Linked DNA regions of Schizosaccharomyces pombe. The gene in region 1 interacts genetically with each later gene. Each region holds a gene or a part of one and is shown on either strand. Other genes may lie near its edges.

The links.
Region 2: mutations in scm3 (region 1) and mis16 are lethal when combined (synthetic lethality), as found in Schizosaccharomyces pombe (one study listed by BioGRID).
Region 3: mutations in scm3 (region 1) and alm1 are lethal when combined (synthetic lethality), as found in Schizosaccharomyces pombe (one study listed by BioGRID).
Region 4: of scm3 (region 1) and mis15, extra expression of one is lethal in a mutant of the other (dosage lethality), as found in Schizosaccharomyces pombe (one study listed by BioGRID).

Annotation. Positions count from the first base shown.
Region 1 is NC_003424.3:1,859,550-1,864,449, forward strand, and holds scm3 (CENP-A histone chaperone Scm3), read left to right. Parts: upstream 1-2,257; 5' UTR 2,258-2,384; coding exon 2,385-3,395; 3' UTR 3,396-3,583; downstream 3,584-4,900. Other genes in the region: cell surface adhesion protein for conjugation Mam3, read right to left, coding at 1-592; mRNA export receptor Nxt1, read left to right, coding at 3,814-3,832, 3,885-4,213; protein dpc13, read left to right, coding at 4,423-4,811, 4,866-4,900. UniProt on the Schizosaccharomyces pombe protein: Centromeric protein that plays a central role in the incorporation and maintenance of histone H3-like variant CENPA at centromeres.
Region 2 is NC_003421.2:581,284-586,852, forward strand, and holds mis16 (histone H4 chaperone, CENP-A recruiting complex CENP-A chaperone Mis16), read left to right. Parts: upstream 1-2,842; 5' UTR 2,843-2,851; coding exon 2,852-2,936; intron 2,937-3,008; coding exon 3,009-3,114; intron 3,115-3,186; exon of another isoform or gene 3,187-3,202; coding exon 3,203-4,304; 3' UTR 4,305-4,610; downstream 4,611-5,569. Other genes in the region: SPOM_SPCC1672.09 (triglyceride lipase-cholesterol esterase), read left to right, coding at 1-343, 389-912; SPOM_SPCC1672.11C (P-type ATPase P5 type), read right to left, coding at 4,623-5,569. UniProt on the Schizosaccharomyces pombe protein: Regulatory subunit of the histone acetylase B (HAT-B) complex. The complex acetylates 'Lys-12' of histone H4 which is required for telomeric silencing.
Region 3 is NC_003424.3:3,190,457-3,199,335, reverse strand, and holds alm1 (nucleoporin Alm1), read left to right. Parts: upstream 1-2,568; 5' UTR 2,569-2,620; coding exon 2,621-7,804; 3' UTR 7,805-7,889; downstream 7,890-8,879. Other genes in the region: ntr1 (RNA-binding splicing factor), read left to right, coding at 8,545-8,879. UniProt on the Schizosaccharomyces pombe protein: Maintains the proteasome and its anchor cut8 at the nucleus envelope and is required for kinetochore component proteostasis. Proper kinetochore stoichiometry ensures the correct attachment of kinetochores to spindle microtubules during cytokinesis.
Region 4 is NC_003423.3:1,447,733-1,453,202, forward strand, and holds mis15 (kinetochore protein Mis15 ), read right to left. Parts: upstream 2,639-5,470; 5' UTR 2,424-2,638; coding exon 2,117-2,423; intron 2,059-2,116; coding exon 1,925-2,058; intron 1,872-1,924; coding exon 1,083-1,871; downstream 1-1,082. Other genes in the region: rps1002 (40S ribosomal protein eS10), read left to right, coding at 276-351, 400-767; SPOM_SPBC32H8.01C (uncharacterized protein), read right to left, coding at 2,639-3,062, 3,155-3,204, 3,283-3,372; NEDD8 protease Nep2, read right to left, coding at 4,455-5,470.

The DNA.
Region 1 (4,900 bases):
TTGTGGATGAAGATGAGTCACTGGGTTCACTGGAAACATAACTAACAGAACTAGCTACTTTCGATGAAACGCTAGCTGATGGAGAAAATACGGGTGTTGATGAAGGGCTCATGGATAATGTGGAAATTTGAGAGCTAACAGCCGTACCAGTAGGTGAGTTGATAACAGATGAACTAGTACTAGAAGAAATGTCTACTGTAGAAGTGAAAGCTTGACCACAAGACAACGTAACATATTCTGTAACAGTTTGAACTCTGTCAACGTATTCCGTAACGGTGGAAGTAGGATTGGAAGAAGCTGCATTATTAGAATTGCCAACAGAGTCAATTAAGTCTTGAATGGAGGAGTTGGAAGACCCGATAACACCAATTATAGTAATGTACTTGGCATCTAAGGTACTTAGAATCTCAGAAGCAGAGGTTGAGTTATAGATATTGCCAACTTCGAGAGGGCTTGATTGGCAAGATTCTAAATTAGAAGATGAAATTAAACCTACTGACCGACTGACGTTAAAAGTGTCATCAAGTGCAGATGGGGATGCCCAGGAAAATCCTAGCAAAACGAGAATAAAGAAAGCCAAAGCAATCGACATGACGAATTATGGGAAGATCAAGCGATAAAAGAAAAATTATAATTAATAATGTTTTTCAAAGAAGAAGAAAAGAAAGTATTAAAAAGAAGCAAGACTCAAATCAAAAGATAGATAAAAAATTGAGAAATGCGATGCAATGCAATGAGAAGTTATTTCAAAATTCTACTAGTCTGAAAAAAACTAAAAAATGAAAAAGCAAAAGAGTGTCAAAAGGTAATGAGGAATAAGTAGACGAGCGAATGGCAAAATCAGAGAGGTTTCAAAAAAATCGAGTTAAGTGATCAAAATTCCTTGCTGAACCTATTTGTCAATTGCAATACTAGTACTAAAACAAAGTCTTCGTCGTTCCCTTCTTTTTTTTCTGATTGCAGTTTCTTATTCAGCTTGCTTTACGAAACCTTCAAATGTAATGACAAATATGGAGCTCTATGCGGTTTTTTATACTTAGGATCCATGGTGAAGGAATACAAAGAAATTCGAGTATTTGAACTATACAATGCTCAAACAATGGTGTAGTGTTTTAAAGAAAGTGCAATTATGGAGTAGTTGAAAGAGTTGCGCTGTACTCAACTTCCTTTGTTTCATCGGCATGCTGTGCTATTCAGGTAACGGGTACGTTTATTGTTGGAGGGGAATGAGTAATTCCTATTGTCATATTCCATATGGTGTAGTAATTCTTTTCATGTGAATGCTTCGGTAAAGAAATTGTTCAAAACAAGCATACCGTAAGAAACTGAAACATGAAACGACTCGGTTTTGCTTCAAGTTATAGAAGACTGTGTTCATGAGACTAAGTCACAAAGAGCCAAAAATAGTTTATTTTACAATACGTTCCCTATCGTGTCCAAATTGTTCTGTCGTTTTGTTTAACATTTCTATTGTTCTCGCTATTGTCTGTTTCACTTGGCACTTAGTAAGAATGCAAACAATGCCGAGATCAATTCATCCTTTGTTCTAATTATTTAGCGATGATTTCTCCAATTCTATGTTGTAATGGAATTGATAATAGTTACTAGTTGGTACAATAGACACTTTCTAAAAGAATTCTATTGAGGAGCTGCGCTACGTATCCTCATATTTACATGAATGAACAATCAAAATATGGCTAAACTTGTCGAACAGAACGCTTTCAACTAATACGAATTATTTGTGAAAGAAAGCCAAAGAATCGTCACGCTTCTTTGGGGCGATGTGACAAATGGAATGCTCAACTTATGGGATTTTTTTATTAAATTGTGCAAATGATGCAAAGTAATATTCACCAAAACGAGTATCCTTATTTTCTTTATTTTAGGTATCGTTGATTTCTCATTTTATCATTAAAAAAGTAATGTGGAATTGCTATGTTCGTTGGAATCCACAAGGTATCGCAGCGTTCGTTATTATTACAAAATTGTATGTCTATTAATTTTATGTATTTTAGAAATTCTTAAACAGTATAGAATTAGTGCAAGAACAGATAAATCAGTCTTTTGGAGCAATGAGTTAATTTACAAGCGTTAAGCGACCATCATTGAAATTACACTTTTGCATAAACTATTCAAAAGAACTTTTCATTATCTTTTTTTTTTGATCTCTAAGTTCTAACAGAAATTAAATCTAAAAGTCATTCGTGAATTAGTTACGAAACTCTAATACAAGTCTACAGTTATGGCACCGTTCACTAATAAACCACTACTGAAATCGCTTTCCTACTAATAACTGAAAATCTCCAATTTTTGCCTTAAGAAATTTATTGGAAAGGATTTTTTGAACAAAATTTCTCAATACCAAATGATTTTAACTTTCAATCATGTGCAATCGTCAACCGAAAGCCGTTGACCTGCCTCCAAACTATTCTTGTCCACATCTGTTGTCTTTTCAGTCTGTCGAATTTAATACTAATCCTACGGCTTGTGATGATGTGTTTTGTAAAAGAATTGAGTCCGAAAAGAAGTACAACGACTTTTTGGAATCTCTTTTCAAAAAATATGGACGCGACACTTCTGATATAGCTGATGAAGTAGATCTTGCAACTGGTGAAATTATTGTTAATAATGGACATCTAGAAGCTTTAAAAACAAAAGATGATATATGGGATCCTACATTTAACAACCTTGAAATCTCAGCGTCAAATGGATACGAAAAAAAATTAGACTCAAGCATTGGCAACCCAGGGGAAAAAGCTGTTTCACCAGTCCATATAGAGGATTTTCAGTCTCCCCAGATCTATAAATTTAAAAATCTATCACTTCGTGATGAAATGGTGTCAGATTGTGTGTTTGCAGATGAAGTTCCTTTAGCTTCACTTTTTGTGGAAAATGTTTGTAATGAAACTATACCCTCTCAGTCATGCGTGAGACTAAAAATCAATGATAAAACAAGAAAAGTTGATGCTTCAGCTTTGGAAAAAAAATCTTGTCTGTTGCCAAACTCATCAGGAACATTAACAGATCAGCGTGGTTTGGATACAATCAAGCATAAAAGCATAGAACAAAATGAGATTTTGCACGTCATCTCTGATACTTTATCTTCACCGAGAAGAAGGAACCCTTTATTATCATCTCCTAAAACTCCTTTACGTAGATCTTTTTCTAAGTCAAAAGTCCGAAACTCCAATTCTACAAAACGAAGAAACTTTATTTCATTAATTTCAATGATATCCCCTCGACCTAATCTTTCTACCCATCATTTTAATCTTGGTTTTCAACCTTTAAGTCAACAAACTTCGTTCTCAGGAAGTAGCACTCAGAACCCTCATTCTTCCAGCACTTGTAAAAAAGCATTTTGTTTCCAATGCATTTCTGAGTCAAAAAAATGTTGATTCAGCTTTAAACCACTTATTCTCCCATCTTCTTCGCTTGCCATACCATGGCTTTTAATGACCTATTTCTTCGAACATATATTTATTTTTTGTTTTCATTTACAACAAATTGTCTTTCGAGTTATCATGTTACATTCGAATATATATTTTTTTACTAATATATTAATCATTCGTTGAGTTTTTACGTGATCTATGCTTTTGTAGTATGGCAAATGAGTACACATAATTGTTCTCCACTCTTCATGTTATAAGTAAAAATCGTAGTCATAAAGATATCTAGCCGAAATATCCATTCAGTGTGTTGAACAAAGATTATCTTTAAATATCGCTTAATGAGTACAATATTTCAATTTATAACACATGTACCTGTTTAAATGACTACTTACACCACTACAAATTTCTGTCATTGTGAATCATTATGGAGTCGAGTGTAAAATGTATGTTAAATGCCGCATTACTAAAGCTTTATCTATAAACTAACAATTAAAGATGCGCAGGAGTTCGTCCAACGGTATTACTCATCTCTTGATACGAACAGAAATGGGATCGCAGAATTTTACAGAGAAAATAGTTTGATCTTATGGAATGGAAAACCCATGCAAGTAACCGAATTTACCTCTATGATAGTTAATCTTCCATACTCCAAAACTAAAGTTGAGGATTTCGATAGTCAACAGGTCATGGGTAATGATATGAATATCATAATTGTTGTTTCAGGAACAATACGTTTCGATGGAAAAAAACCTCATGTATTTTCGTATGTCAGTTTTTATTGTATTTACCTTCTTGTACTAAGATCCTCTACTAACTTCCTTTAAGAGACAATATAGTTCTACAACAGGAAGAATCAAAGTATTATATTGCCAGTCAAAATTTTAGAATTATGAGTGAATAATACGTATCCAAAACAAAGATTTCATTTCGTTTAGAGTTTGTATTAATTTGCCGCAGCAAGCTTATCTGAGCGACACATTCCCTAATCCCTCATACTTCTTTAGAACACAAAATTAACCACCACCTTACAAATATGAAATATTGGAAGTATTTGTCTCAGCTGACTATCAGAAGGCCTCTTACATACAACAATGCTCTTCTGTATAGGAATAGGTTTCCTAGTATATTAACATGGAAGAGAAGTGCGACTACGCAACCTGACGACACTATTTTCAAGGATCCAGTAATGGATGAGCAAGTCCAGAAACTTGAAGAGAAAATGAGTTCATTAGTTGTTAATGATCCGGAACTTGCTCAAAAGGTTGGCCGTCTTCGTCAGTTTTTTGAGAAATACGGCCTTGAAGCTGGTTCAAAACCGTCACCTCTTACTATCCTAAAGATTACTCGTGATCCGGAATTCAAGCAGTTAGCTGAAACTATCACGGAGATATTTAAAAAATCTGGAATTCAAAATGATCCTGCGTATGTTTTTTTGAATGTATTCCATTGATTGTGCGAACACTAACATATCTATAGATTTTTGGAACTTGTTCGAAGAAACCTTAAGAAAG
Region 2 (5,569 bases), on another chromosome or scaffold:
TTCGACTCTACTGACAAGGAATTTTGGGACTTTAGCATTGACGATTTTGCTCAATACGATATTCCCGATACCATTGACTATATTCTAAAAACTTCTGGGCAAACAAAGCTCACTTATATAGGATTTTCTCAGGGCACTGCTCAAGCTTTTGCTTCTTTGAGTATCCATCCCCTGTTGAATGACAAAATCAACTCTTTGATAGCGTTAGCACCTGCAATTAGTCCAAAAGGTTTACATAACAGAGTTGTAGATGCCTTTGTAAAAGCCAGACCTTCCATATTATTTTTCCTTTTCGGACGAAAATCTATTTTGCCGTCTGCCGGATTCTGGCAAAGCTTTTTAGGTACGGTTTTTTTCTTTTAATAATTTCACTGACATTTTTATCCAGCTCCAAAATTTTTTGATGCAGTCCTTGCATACTGTTTGTCTCAGTTATTTAACTGGTCTTGCCAAAACATTTCTTCCTATCAACGCTTGGTTTCATTCGCCCATTTGTATTCATATACTAGTGTAAAGTGCCTTGTGCATTGGTTTCAAATCATGAGAAGCGCAGAATTTAGAATGTATGATAATGACCAGCTTGGTCATGACTATTTCCTCAAATATTACAAAGCTGCCAAATTCCCTACAAATAATATTCGCACCCCTATTTATCTTATTTGGGGAGGCAGCGACTCACTCGTTGATATCCAAGCGATGTTGAATGCTTTGCCTGCGGAGGTGGAGCATGTTAAGGTTGATAGCTATGAACACTTGGACATGATTTGGGCAGACACAGTTAAAGATTATGTTATACCTCCTGTACTACGAAGGCTTCGTGACATTCACCATCCACCAGAGCATGAGGAGAATGATAAAGAAAATCGTGAAATCCAAAAAAATCATATCGCTCCTAGGAATAAACCAATTTAATTTGATTGAATTGAAAGACTTTGCCTCAACACATCTTTTGTATATTTATTATTAGTTAATGTTTTCTACGTTACTATTTTATTATTGCTAGATATCGAATCCCTGATGTTATCCGTTTGTTCAAAAAAAAGAGAGAAAAAGTTTCCTAAAGGCTAAATTTTGCCTTTTTTTACTGATGACCTGTTTGTTCTCAGTTTTGTGATTATTTACGCTTATGCACACCGAAAATTTCATCTTTGAATACTTTGAAGTGTTTGTATTTTTTACTGTCATTAACAAAACCGCATTTGAAGTAGCAGGTTAATAATAATGACTGTTAAGACTGCGGTTCATAAAATTTAATTATTTTGCTTATTGTTTTTTTCAATTTCTTCTGTGCCCCGATTAATTAAGGTGTATCCGACAACCAAGGTTTGGATGCTCGATTATGTAGGCAACACAAAAATTTACATGATATGGATAGATCTTTCATAGAAATACCTCTAAATTTTGATGAATTTACTTTAGCAAGAAAAAAAAAGAATGCAATGTTAAAAACTGTTACAATAATTATAAATATACAATGGGTACCAGAAGTCGCTATGAAAACATCTGAAGTAATAAGATTACGATCAACAACTCAAAACGTGCAAATATACTCCAATTATACTAAATTCCTCTCTTATAATTGATATACTGATATTAATTGCCTCCTCAAAATACTTAGCAAACGCAAGCATTATTCCAAAAAAAAGTCGAGACGAATAACGAGCTAGACCACTGTTGGCATGCATTTTAAGGCAATGCGGTATACAAATTCCTCAGTATATCAAAATAAATAACATTAGAAAGAAAGTACTCATCTGGGAATTTTTTTTTTTTAATTCACAACTATATTTAATAAATATTTTAAATTAAAATCAGTAAATTGCTATGATGAGGTTAAAAGAAATAAGAGACACGATTTGAATTGTACTGTTATCGAATAATTTATCAAGTTAGCATGTTAAAGTTTCCACGACAAGTACCCAAAAGTCTGACTACGTGCTATTAAAGCTAGCTAATCATATAAATTAAAATCAGCCAAAACTCATAGTCATTTCACAAGTTTCTCTTTTCAGCCATTGTTTACATATGAAATTTTACTTAGTCTCCAGAACATCGTTTCTAATACCCTAACCTAAGGTAAAAACCGTCACAACAAATTTACTATATATAGGGTCTGTTCAGTTGATGATTCACCATCATCAGTAGGTTTTAACTTACTTTGTTATATAAGTAAAGTAAAATCAATCCTGAAGTCAAGTATGATGGTTGGAGTCTCCGGACCAAGAAAATGCATCCGTTCCGTCTTCAGCGAAGAATTGAGTGGCTTTCCCGGTCGTTGACTTTTTTCCATGGGTCAAGGATGGGATTGTCTCCCAGACATTTTTAATTAAAAAAAGTTTATATTTGATTAGTTTAGATACGTACCCAAAGTTTGCAATACTACATGATTTGTTTAATAAATTTACGGTGTACTGTAAAACAATTCGTAGAGCCAACAGTATAAATATCCCATTGATGGCTGGGTTCAATAGTTTTATTTTTAGTGTAAATATAATGACAATCTGTTTATCAAAGTATACTGAGATTATAATATTTGTTTTTGCCAAATGGTTTTATAATTATTAGAGCATGATAAAGACGATGTTTGAGGAATTCTTCTCACTATGAATGTCTGTTTTCATGGAGACGTGGCATCAAGTAATGGTTTTTAGAGGCATGTTCAAATTTGTTTTCGCTCATTGAAACTTGTTTTCTATATCGCTGTTCATGAATTTTATTTTATTTTTTTTTTATTTCAGACTTAAGAGTGCGCTAGATTTATTTGGGCATCTTTAAATAATGTAAATTACTTATAACTCCAAAACTTTTAACTTGGCAATCTAGTTTGGGCCATTGTGTAGTTGCCCAAAACATGTCAGAGGAAGTAGTCCAGGATGCACCTCTCGAGAATAATGAACTCAATGCCGAGATAGACTTACAAAAAACAATACAAGAAGGTATGATTAAAGGGAATTCTTCATTAATATATATTATTATGCCGTAATTACTGACGATTATACTCGTTTCAGAATACAAACTTTGGAAACAAAATGTTCCCTTTCTGTATGACTTGGTAATAACCCACGCTTTGGAATGGCCTTCTTTGACAATTCAATGGCTTCCTGACAAAAAAACGTACGTTGCTTGCCAAAGTAGTTAGGCTATGATTATACTGGCCTTTACTTCAAACCATCTCATCAGTTTTCTAACTCGATTCTTGAAGAATACCAGGTACTGATTACTCTATTCAACGTCTTATTCTTGGCACTCACACATCTGGTAATGATCAAAATTATTTACAGATTGCTTCTGTGCAATTACCAAACTTTGATGAGGATACCACCGAGTTTACTCCTTCTACGATTCGAAGAGCACAGGCCACGGGCTCGTATACGATTGAAATTTCACAAAAAATCCCTCACGATGGCGATGTCAATCGTGCTCGTTACATGCCTCAAAAGCCTGAAATCATCGCTACCATGGGAGAAGGAGGAAATGCTTATATTTTTGATACAACTTGTCATGATGCCTTAACTACAGGTGAAGCACTTCCTCAAGCAGTTTTGAAGGGCCATACTGCTGAAGGTTTTGGTCTTTGCTGGAACCCGAATTTACCTGGAAATCTAGCAACAGGAGCAGAGGATCAAGTTATCTGTTTATGGGATGTTCAGACACAATCTTTTACTTCCTCTGAGACAAAAGTCATTTCCCCCATAGCCAAATATCATCGTCATACTGATATTGTTAACGATGTTCAATTTCATCCTCAACATGAGGCATTATTAGCATCGGTGTCGGATGATTGCACTTTGCAAATTCACGATACTCGGTTAAATCCAGAAGAAGAAGCTCCCAAAGTTATTCAGGCTCATTCTAAAGCCATAAATGCCGTTGCCATTAATCCCTTTAATGACTATCTTTTAGCAACAGCCAGTGCTGATAAAACAGTAGCTCTTTGGGACCTCCGTAATCCATATCAACGGTTGCATACCCTGGAAGGACACGAAGATGAGGTATATGGGTTAGAATGGTCACCTCATGATGAACCTATATTGGCATCCAGTTCAACTGATCGCCGTGTTTGTATTTGGGATTTAGAAAAGATTGGAGAGGAACAGACTCCGGAGGATGCCGAGGATGGTTCTCCAGAATTACTATTTATGCATGGAGGCCACACAAATCGCATCTCAGAATTTAGTTGGTGTCCAAACGAGCGTTGGGTGGTTGGAAGTCTTGCCGATGATAATATCCTTCAAATATGGAGCCCTTCTCGTGTCATTTGGGGTCGTGATCATGTTCAGGTTTCTCCTAGGGATCTGGAGTAAAGTTGGCCATAGAAAAAAACCCAAACTCACTTTTCCATCCTTCTACGCTTCATCTGTTTTTTGCAATATTCTTTACAATACAGAGTCATATGGTAATTGACTGCTCTCTTTTTTTCAGCTTTTGTATAATTTAAAACAAATGATCTTCGTCGCCTTGTAAATACATCAAAACTACTGTTATAAATCAGACTACATTTCTATAACACCAGAGATTAAATGTTTTGTTTGACCATGATAAAGTAAAAAGGATAGTAACTATTAATATTATACATAACAGCAAAAAAAATCTATTGAACAACAAAAGGGGGATAATATATCTCAAACTTGTTCATTTTGCAAGTCTGCGAATAGGCGTTTGTATAGTTTCTTCGAAACTTTCGTTCGGCGATTAAGTAAACGATTATTCAGGTGAGATATAAAATTGGTCATAGAAATGAAAATGTAATTTTGACCGCTGGCTGCGAGTAAATAATAAATAACACCAGCGAAGATCAAAAAGTTCTGGAAACTTTTGGACGTAGGCGTAAGTTGGAAAAGTTTCATAAAAAAGTTTTTATGATTTTGAAGTCGTATTAACTTAACGGTCAGGATCAACAAAACAACAACGACAGCTGTAAATGAATAGTTCCTCCAAACTTTTTCTCTGTAAGGAGGTCCTATGCTCAAAACCACTCCAATAAAAATATATTGGAAGCAAGAAATTAAAAACAGAGCAGTTACATCGCTATTTGTAATATTCGTATCTGAGCTATTCGCAGGTGGTGGTATATACCAGGGCTCTCTCCGTACTATCCTTAAGGTTATATATTGAATTATACAAATAAGGACGATTTGACCGATTAGAGGAGATAAAATACGTTTGGAAACCAAATTAGCGGTAGGTCTTTTGTGGGCCAAACGATGATAAGGTCGAGATCTCCCCATGAAAACCGCAATGGGAAGAATAATGACAAGATCAATAAACAAAAACTGGAAGTCTCCAAGATTTGAATTTGTTGTGTACAATATACTGACAGTGATAAATTGAATTGCAGAATACAAAGCCATATATTGGAAACAGCTAAAGCTTGTGACTAGAGCAGCTCGCCCATCTTTAATTACGTCAAGTACACAGGTAATCTCAAACCATTTACTAGTGAATGGAGCAGCAACTGACGCTTCTGCTTCAGAAAGAGATATTCCTACATCGGCTGCTTTCAAAGCACCACAATCATTCGCGCCATCTCCACAAAATCCGACACAATAGTTCAAATTTTGGAAACACG
Region 3 (8,879 bases), 1.3 Mb from region 1:
TTTATGTTTTGTCTCGGAGTAAAAGCATCGGCGCTCAGCAACACATCATCGTTAAGCGAATCAAACAGGTGTAGTGATTTCGGTTTACCAGAAGCACTTGTTGAATTCATTACAGCCGATTTGGCAAAAGAGGAAATAGAAGCCAAACGTGCAGTATTATGCGAACGAGGTGACAACCAAAATTGTGGTAGAGAAGCTGCCTTTTTGGGAGTCGGTTTAGAAGTCAACGGTGAAGCTATCGGTTCCTGAATACTAGTTGGTGCAACTTGTGAAGTTGTGCTTGAAAATAAGGGATTATTGCCGTAAGGGTTTTGGTCTATACTGGCCTGTAATGGTTGTTGCTGTTGTCCAGCTTGAGATCCACCAAATAACCCAGTACCAAAATTTGAAGTTTGTGCTTGGTTGTTAGTATTAGAAGCCCCAAATAATCCAGATGTAGTTGTAGATGGTTGTTGAGCAGTTGTGTTACCAAACAAACCACCAGTTGTAGTAGAAGGCTTATTAAACAAACTACCACCGGTATTGGTTGTGTTTGCATTATTGGATCCAAAGAGCCCGGTTCCGGTATTGGAAGTAGCATTATTCGTTTGCGTAGAGCCAAATAAACCGGTACCAGGAGTACTGGAGTTGGCTGATCCAAACATGTTAGAACCCGCAGTGTTCGCATTTCCGAATAAACTTCCGCCAGTGCCGGTAGCATTAGTAGCTGTGTTGGTATTAGCACCGGCTCCTAAACCACCAAACAAACCTGTCCCTGCTGGTTTAGGAGCAGTGGTAGCAGTGGATCCAAAAGCTGGCTTGGGAGCATTATTAGCATTTTGCCCAAAAGAAAAACCTCCGCTGGCAGGAGTAGTGGTCGTGGAACCAAAACCGAATCCAGAAGGCTTAGTGGCTGCATTATTATTGGCACCAAAGGAAAAATTACTACTATTGTTACCACCAAAAGTAGATGTTGGAGCGGTGTTATTATTTGCCGTATTATTATTAGCGCCAAAACCAAACAAACCTGTACCCATGGTACCTGAATTGGGTTGGTTATTCGTGTTGCTTCCAAACCCCCCAGTAGAAGAACCAAATCCCGTACCCGTACCAGTGGCAGCACCACCAAATAAGCCACCCGTAGTTTGACCTGTTCCTGTATTGGTTGCGTTATTTGAACCAAAAAGACCCGTTCCTGTACCAGTATTGGTAGTGTTAGTGGTTGAGCCAAAACCTGAAAAAGCTGGTTTTTGTTGATTAAATGTAGAGCCACCAAAAAGACCGGTTGAAGGAGTTGAGGTGGTATTATTGTTTTGACCAAATAACCCACCGGATGCATTATTTGTTCCAGAACCAAACCCTGTATTGGTAGTGTTACTACCAAATGCAGATCCACCGCCAAAGAGACCGGAACCAGGAGTGGTATTAGTAGCATTCGATGTACCAAACGGTGTTGCATTATTTGTGGTACCTGACAAATTCTGACCAAACGGAGTAGTTGAAGCTCCAAATGCGGGTGTTGAACCAAATGCAGAAGTAGTGTTCGTACTAGAAGCATTGCCAAAACGTCGTCCTTGATTATAGTCTTGTAAACGCAACTCTTCAAATGAATAAGATCTATAAGCGGGCATACAAGTTATAGACTGGAAGACACTAGTACCGTTTGTTTGAGGGTCTTTTTCAGAAGTTACCGCATAAGGTGGGTTAGCTGTACCATTCACAGCGTTTGCATTGCTTGAGACAAATCCAGAGGTTCCGAAAGCGTTGGTCGTAGCGGGTGTAGTGGACGAACCAAACAAGCCACCACCAGTACCTTGCGAACCAAACCTGTATTTCCAGCAGTATTGCCAGCGTTATTTTGAGAACCAAACAAGCCACCACCGGTACCAGTATTCGATGCAGTGTTACCGAACCCTGTTGAACCAGCGTTCGATCCAAAAGAAAATGACGTTCCAGTATTTGCATTGTTGTTGGCGGTATTTGATCCAAAGAGGCCACCACCACTAGGATTTGTGGCGTTGTTCGTGCCTCCAAAAGCAGGAGTATTGGATTGGCCAAACATACCTGTCCCAGAGGACATTCCAAAACCTGTGCCACCAGTCGTGGTAGTGTTGTTTCTATTTCCAAATAGTCCACCGTTCGTATTTGATCCAAACAAGGGTTGAGTAGTGTTCTGCCCAAAGCCAGTTGTAGAAGTGTTTTGGGAACCAAACAAAGTGTTCCCTGGAGTATTGGAGTTGGAACCAAATAACCCACCAGTTTGTTGATTATTTTGACCGAAAGCACCGGTTCCTCCTCCAAATCCGGAAGAATTGTTTTGTCCAAACATCACTAGGATGATATTTGATTAAATAATTAGTAAAGTCACCAAAATTGGTGTTGTGTGGACGACAGGTCCGAATAGTGCACTGCTACTCAAGATACGTTCAAGGCGTGATAGAGAAGAATACAGAAATTTAGCTTTTTTTTTAATACTCACGGTAATTACAATTTTTAAATTTGCTTCATTTGTTTTTCTCAACGTAATTGTCGCATTTCTTCTAACGTGGTATTATTTCTGTACATCGAGGTTGATCACTTACTTCTCGTATACGTACACTGGTGCTTCATAAGTCATCGAACGTTGATTCCAGGCTAGAAAATGTCTTCGGGGGGACTTGAAGATGATATTCAGCTGGTACACGAGTTTTTGGATGTATCTTTTGAGGATATAAAACCCCTGGTGTCTGTCAATGGTTTCGCTGTATTTATATCTGCTATTAAAACCAAGGTTAAAGACATAAACGCTTTAAAGGATCAGCTTGTCCTTCAAGAAGTCAACCATGAGCATAAGGAGAATGTTCTTACGAAGAAGATTAACTTTCTTGAGCAACAACTTCAATCTTCTAATAATCAAGCAGAGGAATCACGTAATCTTATATCGGTATTGAGAAATGAGAACGAATCGCTGAAAACCAACTTGGAGAATCAAAATAAGCGCTTTGATGCATTGACTACTGAGAACCAGTCGCTTAGAAGGGCTAACTCTGAATTACAAGAGCAATCTAAGATTGCTTCTGAGCAGCTTTCAATCGCGAAAGATCAAATCGAAGCCCTACAAAATGAAAATTCACATTTAGGAGAGCAAGTCCAGAGTGCGCATCAAGCATTGTCTGATATTGAAGAAAGAAAGAAACAGCACATGTTTGCTAGCAGTAGCAGTCGTGTCAAGGAAGAGATACTCGTTCAGGAGAAAAGCGCTTTAGTCTCTGATTTGGCTAGTTTGCAATCAGATCATTCGAAAGTTTGCGAAAAATTAGAAGTTTCATCTCGTCAAGTTCAAGATTTGGAGAAAAAGCTTGCTGGGCTTGCCCAACAGAATACAGAGCTTAACGAAAAAATACAGCTTTTTGAGCAAAAGCGGAGCAATTATTCCTCCGATGGGAACATATCAAAAATCCTTGAAACCGACCCCACTTCAATCAAAGAACTTGAAGAAGAAGTGGAAACTCAGAAACGACTTACAGCTCTTTGGGAGTCTAAATCTTCAGAGTTGCAATCAGAGGTTGCTGCACTTCAAGAAAAGCTCACTTCGCAACAAAGTCTATACAATAATGTGACCGAAGAGTTAAATAATAACAAGCAACAGCTATTGATTTCGGAGAATAGTTTGCGGGAACTGCAAGAGAAATATGATAGTGTAGTTAGTGAACTACAAGTGGTTAAAGAAAATAAAAATACCTCTGTTTCAGCTGGTGTAGGTTTGTTTTCTCCTTTGGCGCAAAAGTTAAGCGCCGTTCAAAATCCCGAATTTTCATTTACGAAAGTATATTCGGACAATATGAAACTCCAACAGAAGGTTTCTAGCTTAAAGCTTCAGCTAGACCGCTTGACTAACAAATTCTCCTCATTTTGTGAACAAGTTAAACAAAGGATTCCAGTTGTCAAACAACAGAGGAGTGAAATCGTTAGGAATAACATTTATATGAATTTTCTTAGCGAATCTTTGGAAACATCTAACAACAACCTAACCAAAGTACAAGCAGAGCTTTTATCGACCAAAATGCGCCAAGAAGCTTGTTACTTGCAGCTCACCGCATCTCGTACTCAATGCAGTGATCTTTCTCGAGAAGTTATTTGTCTCATGGCCGAACTTGATCATTTGAATGAAACTAAATCAAGAAACGTTCCCGCTACTGTGCAAGTTGCGCTTGATGAATACGCTCAAAATCCCTCTACTGCATCTGAGACACTAGTAAACAAGGAGCTTGCTAATTTTTCATCTATAAAGGAAGCTGTTTCGAAAACTCTAGAACTGCGGGAAAAAGTGCGGGCCCTTGAATGCGATGTTGAAATCCAAAAGCAAACTGTCCAATATCAAATTTCCAATGCAGTTAAAGAAAATTCAAATACACTTTCAGAGCAAATCAAAAATTTGGAAAGTGAGTTAAATTCGTCAAAAATAAAAAATGAGTCCTTACTTAATGAACGAAATTTACTGAAAGAAATGTTAGCTACTTCTCGAAGCAGTATTTTGTCTCACAATTCTTCCGCGGGCAATATTGATGACAAAATGAAATCCATTGATGAATCTACAAGAGAACTTGAGAAAAATTACGAAGTTTATCGTAACGAAATGACAGCTATTCAGGAATCCTTGTCTAAGCGAAATCAGGATTTGTTGAGTGAGATGGAAGCAATACGTAAAGAGTTAGAAAATTCCAAATATCAGCAGCAGTTATCTACTGATAGATTAACTAATGCTAATAATGACGTTGAAGCCTTTAAAAAGGAAGCCAAGGAGCTTCGTAGTATTAATCAAAATTTACAGGATATAATTAGTCGACAGGATCAGAGAGCCAGTAAATTTGCCGAAGAATTATTACATGTTAACTCACTTGCTGAAAGATTAAAAGGTGAACTAAATGCTTCGAAGGGTGAAAAAGATTTACGGAAAAGGACGCAAGAGCGTTTAATATCTGAAAACGATAAACTTTTGGCTGAGCGCGAGAGACTAATGAGTCTTGTATCAGATCTTCAAACTTTTCTTAACCAGCAACAGCTATCTGATGCTGCTAGAAAAGTAAAATTTGAATCTGAGAAGGAAAGCTTAAGCCTTTCCTTGCAGAAGTTGAAGGAGTCAAATGAAAAGATGAGTAATGATCTTCATTCTCTACAGAAATCTTTGGAAAAGAGCGGAATTGAGTACTCCAGCAGGATTAAGACATTAATGCTCGAAAAACAATCGTTAAGTGAAGACAACAGGAAATTGTTAGATAATCAACAAATGATGGAAATAAAACTCCAAGAATTAAACGGCGTCATTGAACTTGAAAAACAAAGATTTTCTACTTTGGAAGCCAAGTTTACACAGCAAAAAAATACGTCCTATAGCGAAAGGGAAGCTTTGCTAGAATCATCGCTTAGTGACTTGCAATCTAAACATACTTCCTTAGAATCCCAATACAATTATTCTTTAAGGAATATTGAACAGTTACAGGCCGCAAGCAAACTCGCCGAAGAAATGGTTGAAAGAGTTAAAACTGAGTATGATGAGTATCGATTGCAAACTTCAGAGTCCTTGGAAAAAAATCATTTAAAAATCACTTCTCTTGAACAAAGGATAGTTATTCTACAAGATGAGATAGCTTCTTCTTCTTTACGCTGTGAGAATATTACTAAAGATAGCGAAACAAGAGTTGCCTTGCTTTTAGAGGAAAATAAGCATCTTAACAATGAGCTTTCGTCACACCGAAATGCTGAAAAGCAACATTTAGAGAAGGAGAATGATTATAAACAACAGTTGTTGTTGGTAACTGAAGATTTAAGAAAAACTCGTGAAGATTATGAAAAGGAACTTTTAAGACATGCCGATGCTAGATCGACTCTTCAAAAACTGCGCGAGGATTACACGAAGGCATTAGAACAGGTTGAAGATTTGAATAAAGAAATAGCCTTAAAGGCCGGTATAAACGAATCTCAGCCCTTTCCCATTAGTGAAAAAGAAGATCCTTTGAGACAGGAAGTTTATGTCCTCAAAAAGCAAAACGCAATGCTTTTAACCCAACTTCAATCTTCCAATCTCAACTTTGCAGAAATAACTAGCCCATCCCCGGATTTAGATTCTGTTATGAAATTAGGATTATCAGATTTACAGAATCATGTGAAGCGTATATCCAAAGAAATGGAGATTATTTCATGCCAACGACAATTATTATTCCTTGAAAATAAGAAACTCAAGCGAACCGTTGAATCATCGAATCGAGTTATCGCCGATCTGCAAAGAGGTATAACGGAAAAGGATGTTAGCAGTACTTCTGAATCCGTTGGGGAACGTTCAAATTATCTAAACATGGTTGCTTTATTAAATGAGAGCAACAAATCTCTCCGAGAAAATTTAGAAAGGAACGAGGAAGTTATCACAGAGTTAAGAGAGAAAATAGAAACTCTTAAAACTGATTTGGCGAATTTTAGACTTAATAAAGAACAACTAGAATCACAGCTTCAAACAGAGAAAGCAGCTGTAAAAAAGCTTGAAAACAGCAACGAAGAATACAAGCGTCATAACCAAGAAATATTACTATCTTTGAACAGTAGCACATCTACGTCTAGTGATGCTTCACGCTTAAAGAATGAACTTGTTTCCAAAGAAAACTTAATAGAGGAGTTAAATCAAGAAATTGGTCATTTGAAATCTGAATTGGAAACTGTTAAATCAAAAAGCGAAGATTTGGAAAATGAGAGAGCGCAAAACCAATCCAAGATTGAACAATTAGAGTTGAAGAATACAAAACTAGCAGCTGCTTGGCGAACTAAATATGAGCAGGTAGTTAACAAGAGCTTAGAAAAGCACAATCAAATACGTCAACAACTTTCGCAAAAGACTTCTGAATTAGAAGCCAAGGTTGCGGAATGTCATCAGCTCAATGAACAACTCAACAAACCTTCTGCAACCCCCACTGCTACTACACAGTCTGAACCAAGTACGGTGTCACTGGAAGAATTCAATAGCACTAAGGAAGAACTATCTTCTACACAGCGAAAGCTAAGTGAAATTATGGATATCTTAAATACTACGAAGGAGGAGCTTGAGAAGGTCAGACAAAATAGTAATAAATCTGAGGGAACCAGTAAGGATACTGAAATACCCAACGAAGAAGAAATGGAAAGGAAGAAAGTCATGCAACAGGAAGTTTTGAGGTTACGTTCGAGAATTGCAAAAGAGCTACAGAAAAACGAATTACTCAGGAAACAAAATCAGGTTTTACAAGATCAAGTGAAAGCTTTGCAAGAGACAGTTGTGTCATCCGAGGAAGCAGAGTCCGCTTCGGTACATGCTGATACTAAAGATTTGGAAAACTTAAAAAAGACAGAAGAGATGTTATCAGTTACATTTCAAGTAATCTTCAACGAGTCCATATCTGACTTTTCGACTTCCACTGCCGACTTTACTACTTTTGTGCAAAAGGAATGGGAAAAGCGCAGAGAAATTTTACAGAAGGATGTTGAGGAACAAGTTGCTCAGTCGCATCAAAAACAACTAGATAACATCCGAAAAGAACTCGAGATGCGTAACAAGTTGAAGTTGAGCATGCTGGAAAAGAACTTAGCTAGAGTGCGAGCAGAGTTGGAGCAATCGAAGAAAAAAGATAGCCCTGCAATTTTAAGTTTGGAAGCTTCTAAAAACACTGATTCCAATAAAAGCAATTCTGAAGTCCCAGCAGCTCAAGTTAAAGAGAAAAAGTTAATCGCCAAAACTCACTCTGTTGACACTAATTCTCCTCCTAAACGGTCCAGTTCAGACGCTGGTATGGATGTTTCCAATGATGTTAAGAAAGCCAAATAGTAAAATATGAATTTTTTGGTATAATGCCCTTTTTAATGTTTCTTAAGAGTTTGTAAACAGATAATAAAATAGGTTAGCTGCATAATTATTATTTCTGGTTTCCAATAAAAAAAACGACTTTAATTTTATTATAATAAAAAGCTTTGTATTGTAATTTAATATTTTGATATTTTTTGAAGAGCTATAGATATTTTGCGCAACTAATGTCCTTATTCAGATATGTAAGCTACGCAGTTTGGTATCTGATTTAAGGATACGTAGAACTGCGGTGAGTTTTCCTTGTGGTCTATTATATTACAATACACAGGTTGTATAAGTAGCAACTGAGTATAGGTATTGTATTAACTGGGTTATAATGTTACCTATCACTAATATAGCTCATAACTGAACTGAGGAACGAGGTTCAGTTGTAACGGTATTTATAATATTTCTAAATAGTTGTTATCAACGGGTAACTATGTATATAGACGGATAGTTACCCGTGATTATCAATAAACGGATCTTAGCTAGTATTCCAACATATGACATATAGTGATACGCAACGTAGTGTATCATAGCGTAGTGTAGTATTGCTGACAAGATAAAATAAATAATGACGTTTTCGCGTGTTCTTAAGCTTAAGAACGTAACGCGCAAAAACTCATTATATGACATCCATATTTAACCCACTGGAGAACTGACCCAAAATAGAAAATTTCGGTTTTCATTGGTTTTTATTTATATTGAATTCTTGGGTTGATATGCAAAATGAGTATGTCGATATGAATTCATCTTCCGAGGATTCAGATGGTGATTCAATTTTGGAAGAAGGACGTCTTCGTCCATCTTTTCGTGGGCAGCAAAAAGAAAGGGACATGCTAGGAATATTTGGTGAAGAAGATGAAGATGGTTTTCATAACTCGGGGATTGGAAGTGCTAGACTTCGTAGAAAAAACATTTCTTTTGTTGAGAAATCTGAACAAGTTAAAGCAAATAAGCAAGTGACAGCAGATGATTTATTGGAGGCGCATTCAATTCCACAGTTAAAGAATAAAAATGATGAGGTTTCTCAGGCGAAAAATATTCCAAAGATGAA
Region 4 (5,470 bases), on another chromosome or scaffold:
TAGATTATTATTGTTGCTTTCTTAAAGAAAATTTTTTAATCTGTTGTAATGAACTTGTGCTTTATTCCATAGTCATAGATTTGCTTTCCTATTAGCCTTAACGTTTTCAAGGTTCCATTGTTTACTTCTTGGAAAAAGACCCATTAACGGATTGTAACAAAATTCCTTATCTCTTTAAAAGACCATACCCTACCCTAAATGTGCTTTAAAAAAACAGTCACTGTGTAGACCTCAACACAGAAACGACAAGTTGCAGCGTGCAAATTCCTCACAAAATGCTTATTCCCAAGGAGAACCGCAAGGCCATTCATCAAGCTTTGTTCCAACAAGGTGTCCTCGTTGCTAAGAAGGGTAATGTCTAAAAAACGTCGTAGACCAAGGTTTAACTAACAAGCGTAGATTTCAACCTCCCCAAGCACCCCGAAGTTGGTGTCCCCAACTTGCAAGTCATTAAGGCTTGTCAATCCTTGGATTCTCGCGGCTATCTTAAGACCCGCTACAATTGGGGATGGTTTTACTACACCTTGACCAACGAGGGTGTTGAATACTTGCGTGAGTATTTGCACCTTCCCGCTGAGGTTGTGCCCGCTACTCACAAGCGTCAAGTTCGTCCTGCTGCCCCCCGTGCTGGCCGTCCTGAGCCTCGTGAGCGTAGCTCTGCTGCTGATGCTGGCTACCGCCGTGCCGAGAAGAAGGATGATGGTGCTGCTCCCGGTGGATTTGCTCCTTCCTTCCGTGGTGGATTCGGTCGCCCTGTTGCTGCCTAAGCCCAAAAAGTTAATATATTCAATTCAAATGTATGCTTGGTAGGATCTTATGTGTGTGTGTACTGTATTAGTAAACCGTAGATGTAAATCAGCTATGCAGATTATGAATTCCTACTAGTGGTTGGATAGTTTAATGAGTGTATTTATGTTTTTTATATTTAATAGCTTGTACTATGATGAGTATGTTTGGTGGTTTTCGCATTATTGATAACGAAGGGAAATAACGGTTCAAGCGATCGAATTAATCGTATTCATTATAAAAGTACATTCCAACTGCAGCGTGTATTTTTTACAGTGCGGATATTTAGCATGTCCTTAGTTAATCTCTTGTTGTCCGAGACTTTCCTGCCTTTGTAGAACAAGCCCATCCCGTACATACAGTATTGATAATCCGGTTTCTCCTGTAAGGTACGATGGCATAGTAAAAGGATCGAGAGCATCTTGACGACATATGTCTTTCAAGCCCTCCAAAATATGTTGGCCACGAAGTTGCATAACTACTAATGGCCGTTGTTCAGTAGGATTATAAGATTCTACATTTTCTTCAAGAACCTTATCTTTCTCAGTGCTCTTTTCTATATAGTCATGATCAAGAGTAATAAGTAACTTATCAAGCACTTGAGAATGTGTGTCACCAAATCGTCGCTGAATAGCCATTTCACGGTGCTTTTCACAATTTTGAGTGCTATCCGCAATGAGGGAACTGTTATCGTCAGAAAGGATCGGTCGTGTATCTAATGGAGACCGATCTACCAAGTTTTTTGCGTAAATTTGCCATGCTCCTAAGGCATTTGCTTCCTTATTAACACCAACATTGGTGCAAAAGGTAGTTAAGTTTTTCGAGACTAAGTCTATGGGTCGAAGGGCAGAACCAGCTTTAAGTCTATAAAGTAGCCTCGATAAGCATTGTAGAAATAGAGAATGACACACATCATTTCGTAAAAATATGTTGTGTAGTAAAACATCTGAGTCATCCATGAGACCGAGGTAAAATATTTGCTTGGAAGATGGGTACGTGTGCAAAGCAGTGGGTCGTTTTGAATCCCATAAAACGAGACGGATAAAAGTAATAGGTAATGTTTCATGCCTGGAGATATATGTGTGCTGTTAAAACGGTTAGCAAATATTTCCATGATTATGTTTCGCTGTTCACGTACATATACAAATATGCTTTCTAATTCCGACTTCAGTAGTTCTAAGAAGACAAGAGGATTGGGTAAAACGGTCTTTTCGGCGGAATGATGAACTTTGGAAGCAGTCCACCGCATACTGACAAATCCATGAGCGAGAGCTGTGAATTGATATTAGAAAGCAATGAATAGTTAAGGTGTGTCAACAAAAATACATACCCAATATCTCCAGCTGTGCAATTTGGCCCAAGTAGAATCCATTAGGCCAATCGTACACAAGCATTCGATGAATAATGCTGCGTTTGAGCATGCTCTTTGGAACATTTTTATAAAATGCTTCGGGATTCCACTCTTCATCGTCCAACATATCTTCTAAATTGATGTCTTTGGCATTTGGTGGGTATGTTTGCTTCTGAATCCATTCTACACACAATTTTACTAAGAAATCCCTAGGAAATCGATTTAATAGCTTCTGGATCTTCTTGTCATGCTTGATTCGAATATTACTAGACAATTCAGTACGCATAGCGGTCCTCCTTTTTGAATATCTTATGTTTACGACAAGGAGCCACAATATATCAATCGTTACCGTGGACTAATTTTTTATCCTCTCAAACACTGATCACTAACGAAGGATTTCAGATATATTTGTTTTGTTAAATATTAATGTTACAAAAGAATGGTCTTTGAGATCATTTGGCAGCACCAGCTGTAAGCAAATTTAACTCTTCCCAAGTTCTTCTAAGGCAATGGTTTGGATGGTGGTGAAGGGAGTCCTTGCCCAGATTGCAGAAGTCTTGCTGTTTTCTCGGCAGCTGCTCTATTAGCATGATATCGAATTCGCATTTGGAAAATATCTCGATGAAGATTATAGTGTTTGGATTGGGTCTGTGTTGAACATTCTTTAGAAGATGAGGAGGAGGAGTTGATAGATTCATTCTCGGCAGACGCCGAATCTACATCTTTCTCCTTCTCTGTCTGCTGCACTTCTAAATTTGGTTCCTGTTTTGATTCTTGTGGATTACCGGTCGCATCCTTCTCTACGTTTTTTGACTCATCCTTAGCTTCTAGTTTGTTGGTGTCGATTTTGTTAGTCACTGATTTAATCACGGAAATTGGTGTAGCAAAACCTCGATCTTGCAAATGATTGTAGCAAACATAAAAACTATTTTTATTTTGTTGGTTAAAAAAACTTTTTCCTTCCCATTAAATTATGTATCAACTCAAACCATGAAGGTTTTCACAATGATTACTTACAAATCTAATTTAGTTTTTGTTATTAATACCCATTTTGTAGGCTTGTAACACTAGAAACGATAATAGTGTATTAGAAAATGGTGCTTCATCAAGGTAATGGGCAATTTTTAATTGCTGTTGTTTCTTACAATAAAGCATGGTTTTTTATCTACTTCTGAAACTTGTCTCAATGTATAGAAATTTTCAAATTTATTGGACATCGGCATTTTCTTCAACATTACTACTTTATATTTGAGGTAAAGAAGAGAGAAGGGGTGAATCGCCTGAATTACACTCACACATCAATTTATCTAATAGACGGTTCAAGCACCACAGAATACTTAATTTATTTAATTTATAACTAAAATAAAAATAAAATACTCAATCTATTTTATTGATTTTTTTTGCAATTGCCCAAACATTGTATAGACAACTAAGCAACATGTTGACTTTTTTTGCTCAGATCAAAAAAAATAAATAAATAAATAAAGGCTTTAGTGCAACGTACACCCACATATACATATTCAATTAAAAGGCATGTTAACAAAACTTCTTATTGAAAACCTTCCTCGGACAATGAATACAACTCGTAAAGTCTATTCAGCCTATTGTAAAGGGAAGGTAAAATAAAACACTGGAAGCAATTCCAAAATTTTCTATTGATCAACTTGTTTGTTCATAAAAATTGTAGCAAGTAAAAGGTGGAAACCTAAAGATGGAAAACATTGCAAAAATCAGTGATTTAGAAATGAAACGCATAAGTAATGACAATACAAAGATAAATAAATATTTAGAAATGATAAAGAAAAGGGACAAATTCTTATCAACAATGGAAAAATGAAAAAAAAAAAGGAAAAACGAGTGACCGGATAAACCAGCAATGTACAGCAACAGCATAAGTGGAATCTTATACCCAGATACCTTTATCTAAAAGGAATAGCAAGTTAAAAAATAAGCAACATTGTGCAAGAAAATAACCAGCAAGCAACATAATAATAATAAGGAACCGAGAACCAAACACATATAATAATAATAATAAAAGACGAGCCTCCATAAATAACACACAAACATCCGTTCATACCTCATCTCTCACGACTATATGAGGATGCAAATGAACATCTAAAGATTTACAATGACAAAACTTGACTCAAAAAAATAACCATCTGAACAATCCGATAAAACTTGTATGCTTGAAACACGGAAATAGCGGCAAAAAATGGATGAAAAAAGCAATGCGATGCAATTCGATGATGAAGCAAAAAATAAATCAGACATCCAAACTTCACTTCAAAGCAAGTTGCATTTTGGGAGACAGAGGAAATTAATGAATCTCAATGGATTGTTGTGTATGTTGTATAGCTGCGGTTTCCGGTCTCGGTACGATTGAGGGTGGTCTCTGAAGTATCGAGGTTGGAAGAACAGAAGTACTAGCGGTCTTTACCTTTATTAATGATGGCCTACGAACTGGTGAGGAGTTGGGCTGTGAATCGAGCTTTGGATTTGGTTCCGAATTGGGATGTGTGAGCGGCAAAGATTCCGACCTTGATTGAGGTTGCGAACTGGGCATAGAAGCTGGCAAAGAATGCGGTTGGGCCGAATCAGAAGTAACAGCGCTTAGCGTAGGTAGCTCTAACAACTCTTCCGTCTTGCATATTTTAGAAAAGATCTTTTTATCTTTTTCAGGATCGGTATGCGTTTCTGAAGGCTTGGGTACCTTGGAGCCATAAGCAGCAAGTAAAGAAGTAATGACCTCCATTAGTGCCTTGCGAAGACGCACACTATCGACAACAGAATGGTCCAAGTTCATGTCCACTTTGGGTACATAAGGCTTTTGCAATAGACGATACATGAGGATACGAGTATTCTCGCAAACATGAAGGCCGCAATCACAATCATTAATTTGTTGTGGAGTCTTCATGTGTCGGACACGGAATTCCTTTTTAAGGAGAATGCCAAGGTTTTTGATGGCAAGGTTGCAGTCATTGGTATTACCATTGGACATGGAGTCATAGTACCAGCCCAAACCTTTTTCAACGGAGACGACTAACAAACTCCAATGCGAGCCGCTCTCGATACCACACTCATTGGTATCGTTGATAGGAAGAAAGATAAACGATGCATCAAACATGGCAGGAGGTAAGGCAGACTCGATTTCCAAAGGATTAGGAGCCTGGGCCAAAAAGAAGACCATAGCAGGACGAAGCAAGTATATTTGTTGACTCTCCTCCTTGGGACGTTTGAGCAAGACTTGACGCAACATAATTTCGTAAAAGAAATCGATGTTTGTATCAAGGATCCAATACCCAGGACGAAAGTGGTCGACGTCGTTTTTGCGAA